2 linked regions of the Coturnix japonica genome follow. The protein of the gene in region 1 interacts with the protein of each later gene in a biochemical or structural test. Links are inferred from orthologs where the notes say so. Each region holds a gene or a part of one and is shown in the gene's direction. Other genes may lie near its edges.

What was found. The genes of interacting proteins can lie anywhere in the genome.
Region 2: the proteins of GTF2I (region 1) and BTK form a complex in vitro, tested with the Homo sapiens proteins (4 studies listed by BioGRID and IntAct, with this or other methods). The link is inferred for Coturnix japonica from reciprocal best matches to the Homo sapiens genes GTF2I and BTK.

The regions. Positions count from the first base shown.
Region 1 is NC_029534.1:1,907,754-1,914,347, reverse strand, and holds the start of GTF2I (general transcription factor II-I), read left to right. Parts: upstream 1-2,394; 5' UTR 2,395-2,554; coding exon 2,555-2,589; exon of another isoform or gene 2,590-2,668; intron 2,669-2,716; exon of another isoform or gene 2,717-3,697; intron 3,698-3,853; coding exon 3,854-3,959; intron 3,960-4,456; coding exon 4,457-4,595; intron 4,596-6,594. UniProt on the Homo sapiens protein: Interacts with the basal transcription machinery by coordinating the formation of a multiprotein complex at the C-FOS promoter, and linking specific signal responsive activator complexes.
Region 2 is NC_029519.1:1,974,214-1,980,574, forward strand, and holds the start of BTK (tyrosine-protein kinase BTK), read left to right. Parts: upstream 1-2,073; 5' UTR 2,074-2,607; intron 2,608-3,449; 5' UTR 3,450-3,531; intron 3,532-4,638; exon of another isoform or gene 4,639-4,699; 5' UTR 4,700-4,741; coding exon 4,742-4,882; intron 4,883-4,988; coding exon 4,989-5,087; intron 5,088-5,276; coding exon 5,277-5,342; intron 5,343-5,856; coding exon 5,857-5,938; intron 5,939-6,361. Other genes in the region: RPL36A (60S ribosomal protein L36a), read right to left, coding at 516-734, 1,297-1,364, 1,488-1,593, 1,892-1,894. UniProt on the Homo sapiens protein: Non-receptor tyrosine kinase indispensable for B lymphocyte development, differentiation and signaling. Binding of antigen to the B-cell antigen receptor (BCR) triggers signaling that ultimately leads to B-cell activation.

The DNA.
Region 1 (6,594 bases):
AGCTGTTTCAAACAGCCACAGTTTTATTTCCTTGTTCTCAGCTTGCTGTGGAGTTGGATGCAAATGATGGCACGAGATAATAAAAGCCTAAACAAATGCAGCAGAAGGCACGAGGCTGGCAGCTGGAAGAAGGGCAAAGATCTGTACCCATGACCCCAATTAGACGTGCAGTTTGACATCTGATCAGTTGGCATCAGAATCTGAAGCCTTTCATGTTTCTGCCTGGTGCTGAAACCCCACGGCATCTCCAATTAGGAAACAAAGACAAATGCTTCAGAGGTAAAAAAAAAAAATAATAATAATAATACAGTTTCTCTCTTTTAAAACGTCTGAAAGGGGCTCGCTCACAGATCAAACCACCCCGAGGAGGTGTCTCCTGGGAGGGCACCTTCATTATATCTTGACTTCTCTTAGTTTTTGCAATGTAAAGGCCTGGTTCTGGAACACTGAGGGCGGCACTGAGGCTGGGTAATGAGCAACAGGCAGGCAGGGATCCCAGCACTGAGCCAAATCAGAGCACTGAGCTGCACTGGGGACTGTTTAGAGAGCTGAGTGCATTCATGAGGGCTGGAGAAGTGGGGAAAAATGGAGGTGAGGGGGAGCCAGCAGGGCTGTGCCTGCTCTTGGCTGCCTTATTTCCCCAAGTTGGATGCATGAAGGTCATTCTGGACCCAAATCCAGGTGCAGTAACCCCTCTGACCCTCCTCCCTTAAACTCCAGATCTCCAGATTATTGCTGCTTTCCCTCTGCTGTAATTCTGCATCTTCCCTCTTGGTCCTTTAGCTCAGGGTATTTTTATACCCAGTTTTTGTGTGCAGTGTGATTTTCTGCTGAATGGGATGCGCTCAGTCACAATTAGAAGATGGAGATCTTAACACTTGAGCCATATTCCTCATTTATTACTTTTCAAAGAGTTCGGTGGGTTTTTTTGGTTTTTTTTTTCCTTCTTCTTGTTGTCTCCGTGTTTACAAATCCAATAACAATCCTCATTAAGAGTTGCAAAACATGAAGCCATTTTGATCCCAGGCAGATGGCAGCTAAATGAAGTTTAATTAAAGAATGAGCGCTTTGATTCAAATCATTTCTTAAAAATATAGTGCACGGAGATGCTTAGAGAGCAGCATAAACAGCATCTGTGCTGCATTCAGAGCCCATTTGCAAGAAAACACTTTGGGAAAAGAAAATGCAGGGAAATGTTAAGTTGGTTTTGCTGGGTTAGGGGTTAACACTGCATGTGGAAGGGGTTATGATGTGGGGTCTCCTCCAGGCTGAATGCCCACAGCTTTGCTCTACAGGAGAGATGCTCCAGCCCTATGAGCATCCTTGTGGCTCCCTCTGGACCCACACCATGGCTTTGCCATTTTATTATTGGCAAAATTGGATGGATGGATGGATGGATGGATGGATGGATGGATGGATGGATGGATGGATGGATGGATGGATGCTCCCTCCTCAAGGATCAGGAAACAGCCAACTCCAAAGAGTGCTATGGGCTCATAACTCCAAAGAGTGCTATGGAATGTTTGTGTGGGCTCATAGGGAGGCTGGAGAAGCTCATAAGCATGAACTGCTGAGCATTCTGAAGCTGGCAAAGCTCATCATGGACAAGAACCTCCTGAAGGCAGCTGGGGTCTGGGTGAGCACCACAGGAAGGCATTGCATGTGCTTGACTGCAGACACACAGCTCTGAGGACGGAAGAGCAAAGAGGAATGCAGGTAGATTGTGTGGAGGAGGCAGTGGTCCCTTGGTCATATCCCTTGGTCATATCTCTTGGTGCTGGTCTATGTTGAACCCAAACTGGTCCTGTTCACTTGGGTCCTGTGTTGGATGAATACTAAGGGATCAGGCACTGTGCTGGGGAAGCCCTGAAGATGTGTAGTCCATTGATTTGTAATGACAGCATCTGTCCATTGGTTTGTAATGACAACGTCTGTCCATTGGTTTGTAATGACAACGTCTGTCCTGCTCCATGGAGCAGCAGGGCACAAAATGGCGGACACCCCCCTAAGGCAGAACACCCCTCCAAGGCCCACGCGTTGGGTTAGCACCCCCCCGCGCGGTGCACGCTGGGAGATGTAGTTCTCCGCCTCAGGCATTGAGCCGCGGCCGCACGGCGGGCGGACTACATATCCCAGCAGCCCCCGCGAAGAGCGCGCATGCGCAATGGTGCATCGATGAATACAAAGCTCCCTCGGTGAGGCGCTGTATTGAGCCCAGAGACCGCAAAGAGGGCGGCGGGTCTTTGGGCCCATCCCAGCACCGAGAGGCTGCGGGAAAAGGGGCCGCTTCCAACACTGTTCCGCTCAGCCCCCACAGCCTGGCCGCGATTGGATGAGGGAGGAGATGGGCGTGATTTGTATGCTAATAAATTAGGGGTGAGGCCTAGTGTGCTCCTGCGATAGGGCCGTGTTGGTGGGGGGGGGGGGGTGGTCCGACCGCTAATTGTAATTAACCTGCCTGGGCCTCGTGGTTGAGCCCCTTTGCATTGCGATCTCCGTGCTGTATCGCCGCCATATCGCCGACAGAACCACGCTGTCTGACTGCAGTGCAGTGATGGAGCTCCGTGCTGACAGCTTCATTGCTGCTCTGTGGGTAATGCTGCTCTATTTGTATGCCTGCCTTGTGAGCAGTGCCGCTGGATGTGGTTTTCATTGTGTCTAAGGCTTTGTGAGTATATATCAGCCTATTTGGGTCTGGAAATAGTGAGATTTGGGTTAAATATTGCTTTACTAGCAGACTAGAGGATGAAAGGAGTCAGAGATGCTCTTAAAGTAGCCAATGTTTGGGTTGTTTCATCTCTTTAAATGGTTTTCGGTAGTAGCAGAGGTAAAATGCATCTTCCTTAGCATCACAGGTGTGCCTGCATCCCAGCAGGGTTCCTGTGCTTTATTAGCTAAATCATATCAAGATTAATGTTTTCTAAATCAAACTTGGGGAAGAAAAATAGAGCTTTCTTCTGCTTTGAGCCAGTAATGGATCTTTAACAAGATTTGCTTGTGTTTAACAGCTGTGAGTTCTAATCTGTGCTGTTCTGATCCGGTTCTTTCTGTCCTTGGTCTGAAGGCTGATGTTTGGGTGGAATTAAACGTGTCTTGGCCTTGAAGGCAGAGCAGCCAAGGGGTGAGACTGGTAACAGCCAGGCAGCAGTCTGGCTTCTAGATAGAGCATTCATTGTAAATCCATGTTCCTTCTTCTTCCAGCTTGGTAAGGCAACAAGTGCTCAGTTAGAATGGTATTTGTTATAGAAATCCCCTGCTGGGCTGTTTTCCCTTGGGAGCAGCGGATCTTTGGCAATGTGCAAGGCTGAGTGCAGGCACGCTTGCAGCAGCTGTGTTTTGGGGTTCTTGGTTACGAGCCTTCCCATCTGCACAGTACGAGTGGTTTTAGTGTTTGTGCTGGGTTAGCTGCTTTGGAGCTGTGTGAGGCTGCTGAGGAATTTGGCTTGCACTCAGACAGCTCAACCCCTAATGAACTTGTGCTGAGAGTTACAGGGCACGTCACTCTAACACCGATGTCAGAACAGGTTTGTCGTTCTATTAATACAAGTCTTCTTCTGCTGTGCCTCTTCAGGCTATTGCAGATATGAACATACACAGAAAGAGAAGTCAGTGTAAATGCAGCTAATCAATTGATATGCATCTCTCTAGGTGTTTTGTCTAGACGTGGCACAGCATTTTAACTTTCAAGCAGCAGGAGGTATGGAAGAACAGAACAGTGAGCGATTTATACTGTTGCTGTACCTGCATATTTGTTCATATGAGGGTATTCTGGGTTTTTGAGCATGTGAATCTGTAGGTGGATATTCCTGCTCTGTTGCTTGTATCTGAACTGGCTTTATATTTGATTTTCCAGGAAGAGAATGGCCCAAGCTACAGTAGCAGCATCATCCGTGCGTGATGAAGACCCGTCTGAAAGCAGGATGGTTGTCACCTTCCTTGTCTCAGCTCTGGAGTCCATGGTTAGTGGCTGCAGTGCTATAGCAATACCTTACCTCCCTCTGGAGAGCTCTTGTGTCTGTACAGGAAGCCTTCCTGCTTCCAGCTCTGTTCTCCAAACAGAGCACTATTTGTGTTAAGTGTGCTGTGGAAGGATAAAACTCCTGTACTAATTCTAGCTAGGACAACACGATTATCTAATTGGAATCTAATTGAAGTGATAATTTCCGAAGGATAGACTGAATAAATCATTTTAATTAAAAGCAGTTCAATTCCTCAGTCTAGATGAGAGCTTAATTTCACTAATGCACCTACAGTGCTTTTAAGGTTTCTCATCAAAAGAATTCCAGATACATAAACTGTCCTTTGCTAATGACTGACATTATGTAACTCATGATATCTTTTGAGGAGTGGATGCTGGCAGCAGGAGTAGTAACTGCTTTAAGTGATTCCACATACATCTTATTACTGTATACGTTTAACAGGGATGATGAATGCTTTTCTCTTTGTCTTTTCATAGTGTAAAGAACTTGCCAAGTCCAAGGCAGAAGTTGCCTGCATTGCTGTCTATGAAACAGACGTTTTTGTGGTTGGAACTGAGAGGGGAAGAGCCTTTGTTGATTCCAGGAAAGATTTTCAGAAGGATTTTGTGAAATACTGTAAGTTTCAAGGTTGTTTAGTTTTGTATTTCACTCCAGCTGCTTCACGTATATTACAAAATACTTGTATCTCTTGAGAGCAGCGTCCTGTATATTGTGGCTGCATTCTGCAAGTAACACCTGCTATAGAATCATTGCTGCATTGCTTTTGTACTCCTTCACATCTGTGGGAGTGTTTTTTGTTTCTGTTAATTTGATATAGTGGAACTTGTGTGATTATGAAGCTTGATCTGTTGTGTACAGGGCAGTGTTTTGAGAGTGGGCTCTCATAGGTGCAGTGATTCTTTGGGTGTTTTACATGCGTGTACAGGAAAATGCTGTTGATGTTCAGTGCTTAGCCAGTAATGCAGTGCCCCTTTATCTGCCTGGGGGAAGGGAGAAGATGAAGGTCAAGAGCAGGATGTGAGAGGACAGCCAGTCTGGGGGAACTTTATAACAACAGCTGTGAGATGTTCTGGCTTGACTAATTACATACTGCGTGCAGTGCAACCGTGTTTAATCTGTAACTGGAAGATCTGCTTCTAAAAGTGCTTTTGCTGATAGCTAAAACTCTGAAGAATTCAGCTGTGGTTAAGCTCTGGATTTGCTCACTGTTGTGCTGTTGAACGGTGACTTTCTGTGGGTGTAAGTGTATTTACTCTAAGAAAACCACTGTCATGTGGGACTGCAATATGATATTAAAATGCAGAGCGATGACCTCAGTGAGGAACTGAGGATGAGATGGTCATGATGTGAGGAAGTTCAGCTCTTCACCTGACTTGCTGTTATAGGACTTCCCTGTGAAGCCAAATAGTCTTTGCTCACTATCCCAATCTAAGAGTTCTCAGTTTTTTACTGAGTGTTAACCAAGTATTGGTACAGCAGCCTTGCTGCTTCCTTATGATCCTGATCACCTCTGATTATATTCTTATTATGTATTTCTTGCTTGTCACAACTGTATGAAGTCAGAAATAGCTTCTAAATGGGGTGGCTTGTTCTTCTGACAGGAAGCAGAATGTATCTGACTTGAAGAGCAGACTGCATCCCCTGACACATATGGGAAGAGCTGAATGTATTTTTCAGCGTTACTCTAACAAGAGAGGTTACTAGTGGCTCTAACTGCTCCTGATCACATTCCATTTGTCTTAGTTACAGTATCTAAAGGGCAGACTTCCTCTTTGTGCCAGGACAAATGTGAGGATACCGCTCTGTGAGCAGCTGACATCTTTGTGTTGCTGGGAGGGCGATCCCTTGACACTAATGCAGCTAGCTGAAAAATGCCAGTTCTTCTTTGATGGTGATGTGCCAGTGGGAAAACTGGTTTCCCACAGTCATTTTCTTTGGCCCTGAGCTATTCTGTGGTCAGCTGAGACTTCTGAGACTTCCGTGGCTTTTGCTGCTCCTGAAGCTACAGAATATTTTAGGAGAGAAGGGATTTGTTAAATTGTAGGCTTAAATAGGAAGGGAAAGAAAAACAGTGAGAACCAGGCAGAGGATTCATCCTGACAAAACACTTGTGGAGGTGCGTATGTGCCATCTCTAATCCATTCCCCATTCTAAATGCATATTTTTGGGCTGTGTTTGCTACAGTTCTCACCTTAGATTTGGTGAACTCTAAAGAACACATAGGAGGAGAGTGTGGTTGGATTGGTTGCATTCTTCAATCTGTAACTAGCGGGATGCTTTCCTTCTGCCAAGCCAGAGCTGTTCAACACCTCTGTAGGTCTCAACCTCTTGTTTGTTTTCCTTTTCTAATTCCAGATTCCCTTTCCACTATCTGGGAGTGGTCTCTGCTGAAGGCTTGTTCTGCTTGAGTATGTGTTGGAACAGTCGATCTCCAGTCATTCTTACTGGCAGCTTCCTCAGTTGTGACTCTTGGTTATGTCCTTGAGTTTTCAATGCTTTCTTTTCTTCCCCCTTCCTTGCAGCAGATGACTTGGAATCATTGGCACTTCTTCGAATGGCAAGATGAGAAGAGGTTGACAGCTGCTTGTGGCTGTGCTGACTGTAGCCTGTCACC
Region 2 (6,361 bases), on another chromosome or scaffold:
TTTATGGGGCCAATGGGGATTGGCTTCCTTAGTGAGCTCCCTTCCACAAATAACTGCTTTCTTTCTCCAGTGGCAGCAGCCTTTAGCTTAAAGGTCCTCCTGGTACAGGACAGAGACGCTTAACCACAATTACCAACCAGAAGCAACACTCAGTACAGTGGATTCGATGCTCTATTATACACCTCTTAGAGCAAGGAACATCTGTTGGGTTAATGTACTTGCACGTCTCACCCCACCAGCAGCACAGAACACACAAAAGCAAGTTAACAGATCACTTCCAAACACTTTAATATGGTCCAAAAATGAGTAGGATGCAGCTTAGAACTGTATCACCTGGCCCTATAAGAAGGAAGAGATGAGTGTGAGTTTATTCACCCCTGAATCTTGCCCTCTCCCAATGGTAGCACATAGCCTGCTGTCTGTCTGTCCCTTCTGCTGCCACTCCAGGCAGGCTGTTGCATGCTGCTGATAATCCTCCCCTTGATACAGAGCCTCACTCAGCACTTAGGGAGGGCTCAGCCTGTGATGCTGGCAGTATTTCCCCCTTCCCCCCAAGGCCACATGCAGATGATGCTTCCATCACCAGCCAGTCTTGGTACACACACACATACCTTTCTCTTCTTGTCTCCTCCCAGTTCAAAGTGCTTGCATCTCTTAATGGCCAGCATCCTCTTGGACCTGCAGTTGGGCTCCACACACTCCAGCCTCAGCACAATCTTCTTTGTGGTCTTGGCCTGAGGAGGGGGGAAGAGCAATGAGCAGTGTCCAAAAATGAATAAAATGCTGCTCTCAGGAAAAGCCTCTTATCTCCACCCTTACAACATTCATCAGCTTGTTCTCAGAACATAGGAAGAAATTAAACACAGCTGACTTGCTCCATTAAACACAGAAAAGTATCTTAAAGACTGGTAAAGAGTGAATCTGCTCCTTTGCCTACTCATGTTTTAAAGAACTCCGGTGAAAGGACTGACTGGGGCAGAGCTGGTCTCCTGCAGAGATCAATAACAGAGCAGGAAAGCTGCTCCAGCAAATGCCTGTCAGGTTTTGCTTCCCTGCTGTAACAGGGCAGATTTCAGCCCCCATGCTGCATCACTGCACTGTAAGAAAGCAGTGACCTAATAGGGAACGAGGAGCAGCCTGGGATGGGAACTTGTGTTCTTGCACTCTCTGGACAGTTCTACCTGCATGGAGCTGCCACAGTGCGGACTGAACACAGCACAGAGACAGAAGTGTCCCCTCCAGGATGATGTGTGGAGAGCAGATGTTCCAAGCAGGAGTTATGGGAGCAGCGCTCACCTTCTTACGGAAGATAGGCTTCGTCTGGCCTCCATAGCCGCTCTGCTTCCTCGTGTAGCGCCTCTTCCCTGCACGAAGAAACAGGAACGTTTAGACAGCAGCTCTGATACGCTACAAGCACAGCTGGCAGCGCCTCGGCATCAACCACCCCCCCGGGCTCTGCCCCCTGCCCACCGCACCCCCACCCTTACCCTGGGCATAGAGGGAGTCCTTGCCCTTCTTGTACTGGGTGACTTTGTGCGGCTGGTGCTTGCCACACTTCTTGCAGTAGGTCCGGCGGGTTTTCGGGACGTTCACCTGGAGGAGCAGACAGACCTCAGTCAGCGCAGTCAGCGCAGCCACAGGCCGCACAGCCGCCATCCCGCCCCGGTGCTGCGGAGCGCGGCCCGGCCTTCCCGCCCCTCTCCCCACCACAGCACAGGCCCCGCGCCGCCGCCCCGCGCTTACGGCCTCCGCCGCTTCCCAGGCCCGGCCCGCCCGCTGTCCGAGCAGCTCCCCGCATCGCCCAGCGCCTCGGAGCGGCGGAACGAGCCGCCGCGGAGACGGATGGAGGCGGATAAAGGCAAACCCGCAACAGCACACCAACAACGCTCACCATCTTGCCGCTGGTGACCGGAAGAGAAGGAGCGAGCCGGAAGCGGAAAAAGACGTGAGGGGATCATAGAGAGGAGGAGCGGGGAGCGCAGCGCCCCCTTGTGGAGGGGAGGACGGGGAATGGAGGGGAGGGGGAGGGAGGAGGGAGGAGGATGGAGGATGGAGGATGGAGGATGGAGGGAAGGAGGATGGAGGATGGAGGGAAGGAGGTCGGGGCACGTAGGTGTGGGGCCAGGGGCCCTGGTGGTGTAATAGGGACATGGTGGGTGTAATAGGGACATGGGTGCACAGCGACATGGGGCTGTGCAGGGCTACGCAGGGACACGGGGTGCAGGGGAAGCCCTCGTGCCCTTCATGCACAGTGTGCAGCCCATTTCCCAGCCGCACTGCCCAGCACCAGGCCTGGAGCTCACACCCCAGCCCTTCTCCCACCCCCTGCTCCTGCACTGTGCCCCCGGCTCCATGTCCCCACAGCCGGTCCTGTTGGCGGCACTGTGAAGGTGGCCCCGGCCATCTCCAGGAGGAAACGCAGCTGCTGCTTTGAGTCAGAAACTCAGAAAAGGGGAACTGAAAGGGTGGGGTTGGCCGGCCCCGTTCTTCCTCCCTGCACGGCAGACCCCATTGCGGGCCCCGCGCCGTGTCCCTACAGCTGCCCTGGGCCGCTCGGGGCAGGCGTGGAGCAGCGGGCGCAGCCGTTGGGGCGGCCGGGAGGGCCCGGTGAGTGCGGGGCACACAGGGTGGGCTGCGCCCCAGGGGCGTGTGGCAGGAAGAGATGTGACGTGGGCAGCACGAGGGCTCGTGGCCTCACATCTCCGCTGTTTGCGGTGCTGGGGATGGGGGAGGTATCTCAGGTGCTGGCTGTGGTGTGCCATACCGAGCAGCCCCATCTGGGCCGTGAGGCTTGGATGCACACTGAGCTGGCGGCATCCATCCTGCTGCCACGAGGATGTGGGGCGCAGGGCCCTGGGTGGCCATGGGGCTGTGCCAGAATAGGGGGATGGGGTGGTCTGTGGGTGCTACAGTGTGCTGGAACTGCCTGTCGGGGTGCTGGCTGGGTGCTGGTGGCACTGGGGCAGCACGGAGCAAGGAGTGGGGGTGATGTGTGAGTGCTGGAGTGCAGTGGAGCAGGGGGTGGGGTGCTGGCAGTGCCTTTGCACACTGAATCCCTGCTCCAGTCCTGCACTGATTGTGCAGGGTTGCCTGTGGCAGCTCCCCTCCCTCCTTGCACTCGTGTCCGAGGTGTGACAGCGGCAGGAAGTCACATTATCTGGGGGGGATGTCTCCGCTCACCCACTCGCCACCTCTGCTGCCACAATGAGGCAGTGATGGCTGCCTGGGGAGGGGAGTATGGCCAGGCAGCCACCAGCACGGGGATGGGGTCTGGTGGCCCTGCACACATCGACCCCTTCCTCACCCCTGTTGCACAACTGGCAGAAAGGGGCAGCTGGGGAGAAATGTGCTAGTGCAGAGATGGGGAGGCTGTGCTGGGGACAGGGAGAGACAGCACTGTGCTGGATCAGAGCATCCCTCTGTGACACTCACCGTCCTTTTCTCCCTAGTGTCCTCACTGCATCCTCTGGGATAGTGACCTGTCCATTCTGCCCACTGCTGCTGGGGGTGATGTAGTTGCTGCTACACAAGGTAAGGGTCCCTGCATCCTGTGGGTCAGTGGCCACTGCAGCCACCTGCCATGTCCCCAGTTCTCTCAGCCCTCATCCCTGGATCAGACAGAGACTGCTGGTTCTTCACATAACCCATTATTTTTAAGCTGTTCTTATTTTTAAACCACCCAAAGAACCCTAAGCAATGGGGCCCACAGTGGGAGGACAGGGGGAGCCCCGTTGTTTGTAGGCACATAGGGCGGCTTTGCTGCTACAAGGTCTGTGGTGGGGGTCTGGACATTGGAGAAGATGGGAGGGATACCCTGCTTCTGCCCCCCTGCTGGGCATGCCATGGGAGAGGCACAGCGGGCAGAACCACGTAGAATACCTTTGGTCCCCCTGTGGTCCCTGTGGTGAGCAGATGGGCTACACAGATGTGCAGCGGGGAGCTTGACCCCACTATTCCAGGGAAAAGAGAACAAACCTGAGGTGAAGGGATAGGAAGCACAGAGAAGGTAATGGGAGGTGTGGATCAGTAGTGGCTCCATGTGGCTCAGCAGTGAGACCAGGAGCTGGTTACAGCCCTCCGTGGGAGCACCTCACACCTTCAGCCACAGGGTGCTACAGACAACCAGACCCGTTCCTGCAGAGGGTCAGAAGCTGTGCTGGTGGGGGCCGCAGGAGGATTTAAGCACCTGAGTGCTGGCTAAAGGAAACACTTTGAGCCTGGCTCATATGGGGAAAGGAGTTCAGCACTGTCTGCCTGCAGAGTGGGGAAGGATGGTTCTAGAGCTGCTGTTGGCTGTTGTCAGCACAGCACTGCAAGCATTTGGGGCTTTTTTGTGGACCTGCCCCCACAGCTGTCCCATTTGCAAGGCAGAGCCCAGGCAGCTCAGTGGGAGGAAACAGCCCACACAAACACAGCAGTGCCGAGAGGAGGAGGGAGGGTGCTGGGTGTCACAGCTTGGCCTCCATGCTCCTCCCTGAGGCGGTGTTTCTCACGGCCTCCCCAGCTCCCTCCCATCTAGCCACTAGCACCCAGCTGGAGCTGGAGCCTGTAGGGTGGCAGCTTGGTCCTCACCATGGCATTTCAAGGGGGAAGTAACCAGGGAGAAGTCACTCCATAAATACCCTGTATGTGTGCGAGGTCCGGCTGCAGGCAGGTGTTGGGCTGAGCAAGAGCTGTGTCAGTGTCACCCTGCACACAGCAACCCGGGGAGCACGGCGAGGAAGCAGTTGGGGTAGCCAACATGGCCAGCATCATCCTGGAGAGCATCTTCTTGAAGCGCTCGCAGCAGAAGAAGAAAACATCTCCCCTCAACTTCAAGAAGCGCCTGTTCCTGCTGACAGAGAGCAAGCTGTCCTACTACGAGTATGACTTTGAGCGTGGGGTGAGTCTGTGGGGCTGCTGGCCCCACACCAGCACAAAGCATGGGGATGAGGATGTCCCCGGGTCCCCGCTTTGGGGATCATTCAAACCAGTCTTGTCTCTTGCAGCGTCGAGGCAGCAAGAAGGGCTCGGTGGACATTGAGAAGATCACCTGTGTGGAGACGGTGGTGCCCGAAAACAATCCTCCTCCTGAGCGGCAGGTCCCGGTGAGCGTCCCTGCTGCTGTCCCCTGTACTCTCTTTGGGGCAGTGCTGTCTGGTATGGAGCTCTGTGCACACAGTCCAAACTATACTGATGTCCAGCCCAACACAGAGCACGGGGCAGGAGAAAGGCAAGGGCTGTGGGAGCAGCTGAGCTGCAGGATGTCAGTGTCCATCTTTCCCTCTCTCTTCCAGAGGAAAGGGGAGGATTACAACATGGAGCAGATCTCCATCATTGAGCGGTTCCCCTACCCCTTTCAGGTTAGTTCTCATCGTGCTCACTTCACCTTTCTGCTTCAGCTGGCTGCAGGGTAGGAGCTGGCATTGCAGCAGGGGTGAGAAGAGCAGGGGGACATGAGGATAAGCACAGCATCATTTTGGGGACACCCTGCTGCTGTGTGGGGCAGGCTGATGAGCCTTCATGGGCAGTGAGGAATCGGGCGGCTCTCTGGAAAAGGAGATGGATGCTGGCCCTGAGCTTTGTCCTGCCATTTTTGGTCCCCTGGCCAGTCCTGGAGGGATGGATGCTCTTTGCTCACTCAGCCCCCAGCCCAGTTGCTCGTGCTCACTGGCACCCAGCACAATGAAAGTTAGAGAAGGAAGTGGAAAGTCTCAGGGGAAGGGGCTTATTTATAACGTCTCTGTCATGGTTCCATGAGCACCACGGGGCCAGCACACAACGGCACGGCTTTTGCTCCGGGTGGCTGCAAGCCTCTGCTCTCCTATTTCCCCCCATGAGCCATGGCCTGGTGCTGAGCACGTTGGTGTACTACAGGTGGTGTATGACGAGGGGCCCCTCTATGTCTTCTCCCCGACAGAGGAGCTGCGCAAACGCTGGATCCATCAGCTGAAGAGCGGTGAGTTTTGGGGCACCTGGCTGCACATGCGGTGTGACTCAGAGCGCTGGGTTTCCGGGGGCTTGCTGCCTCGTGGTTACGATATCCCATATCTGCGGAGGAGAGAGCTCTATCAGAAAGTGCTCCCATGACGAGCAAAGTCATAAGGCTATTCCCCTGCTTGCATCATTTGTACCATCCCTGTGCTAGCGTGAGCCTGGGGAGAGGGGGCACTCACCTCCTACTTATTCCTACAGCATTGTCTGAGGTATTTTGCCATCCCACAAACCTGCTCCAGAGCAGTTCAATCATCTTCAGAAGTCGCTGAGAGCAGGAGGAAATGGCAGATGTGGCCACAGAGCTCCACCAAGGGGAGGGTAGAGCCCCCATTGCATTAGGAAGGAAATGTGGACAAAAAGTGTATTAGGAGCCCAGCAGCATCTC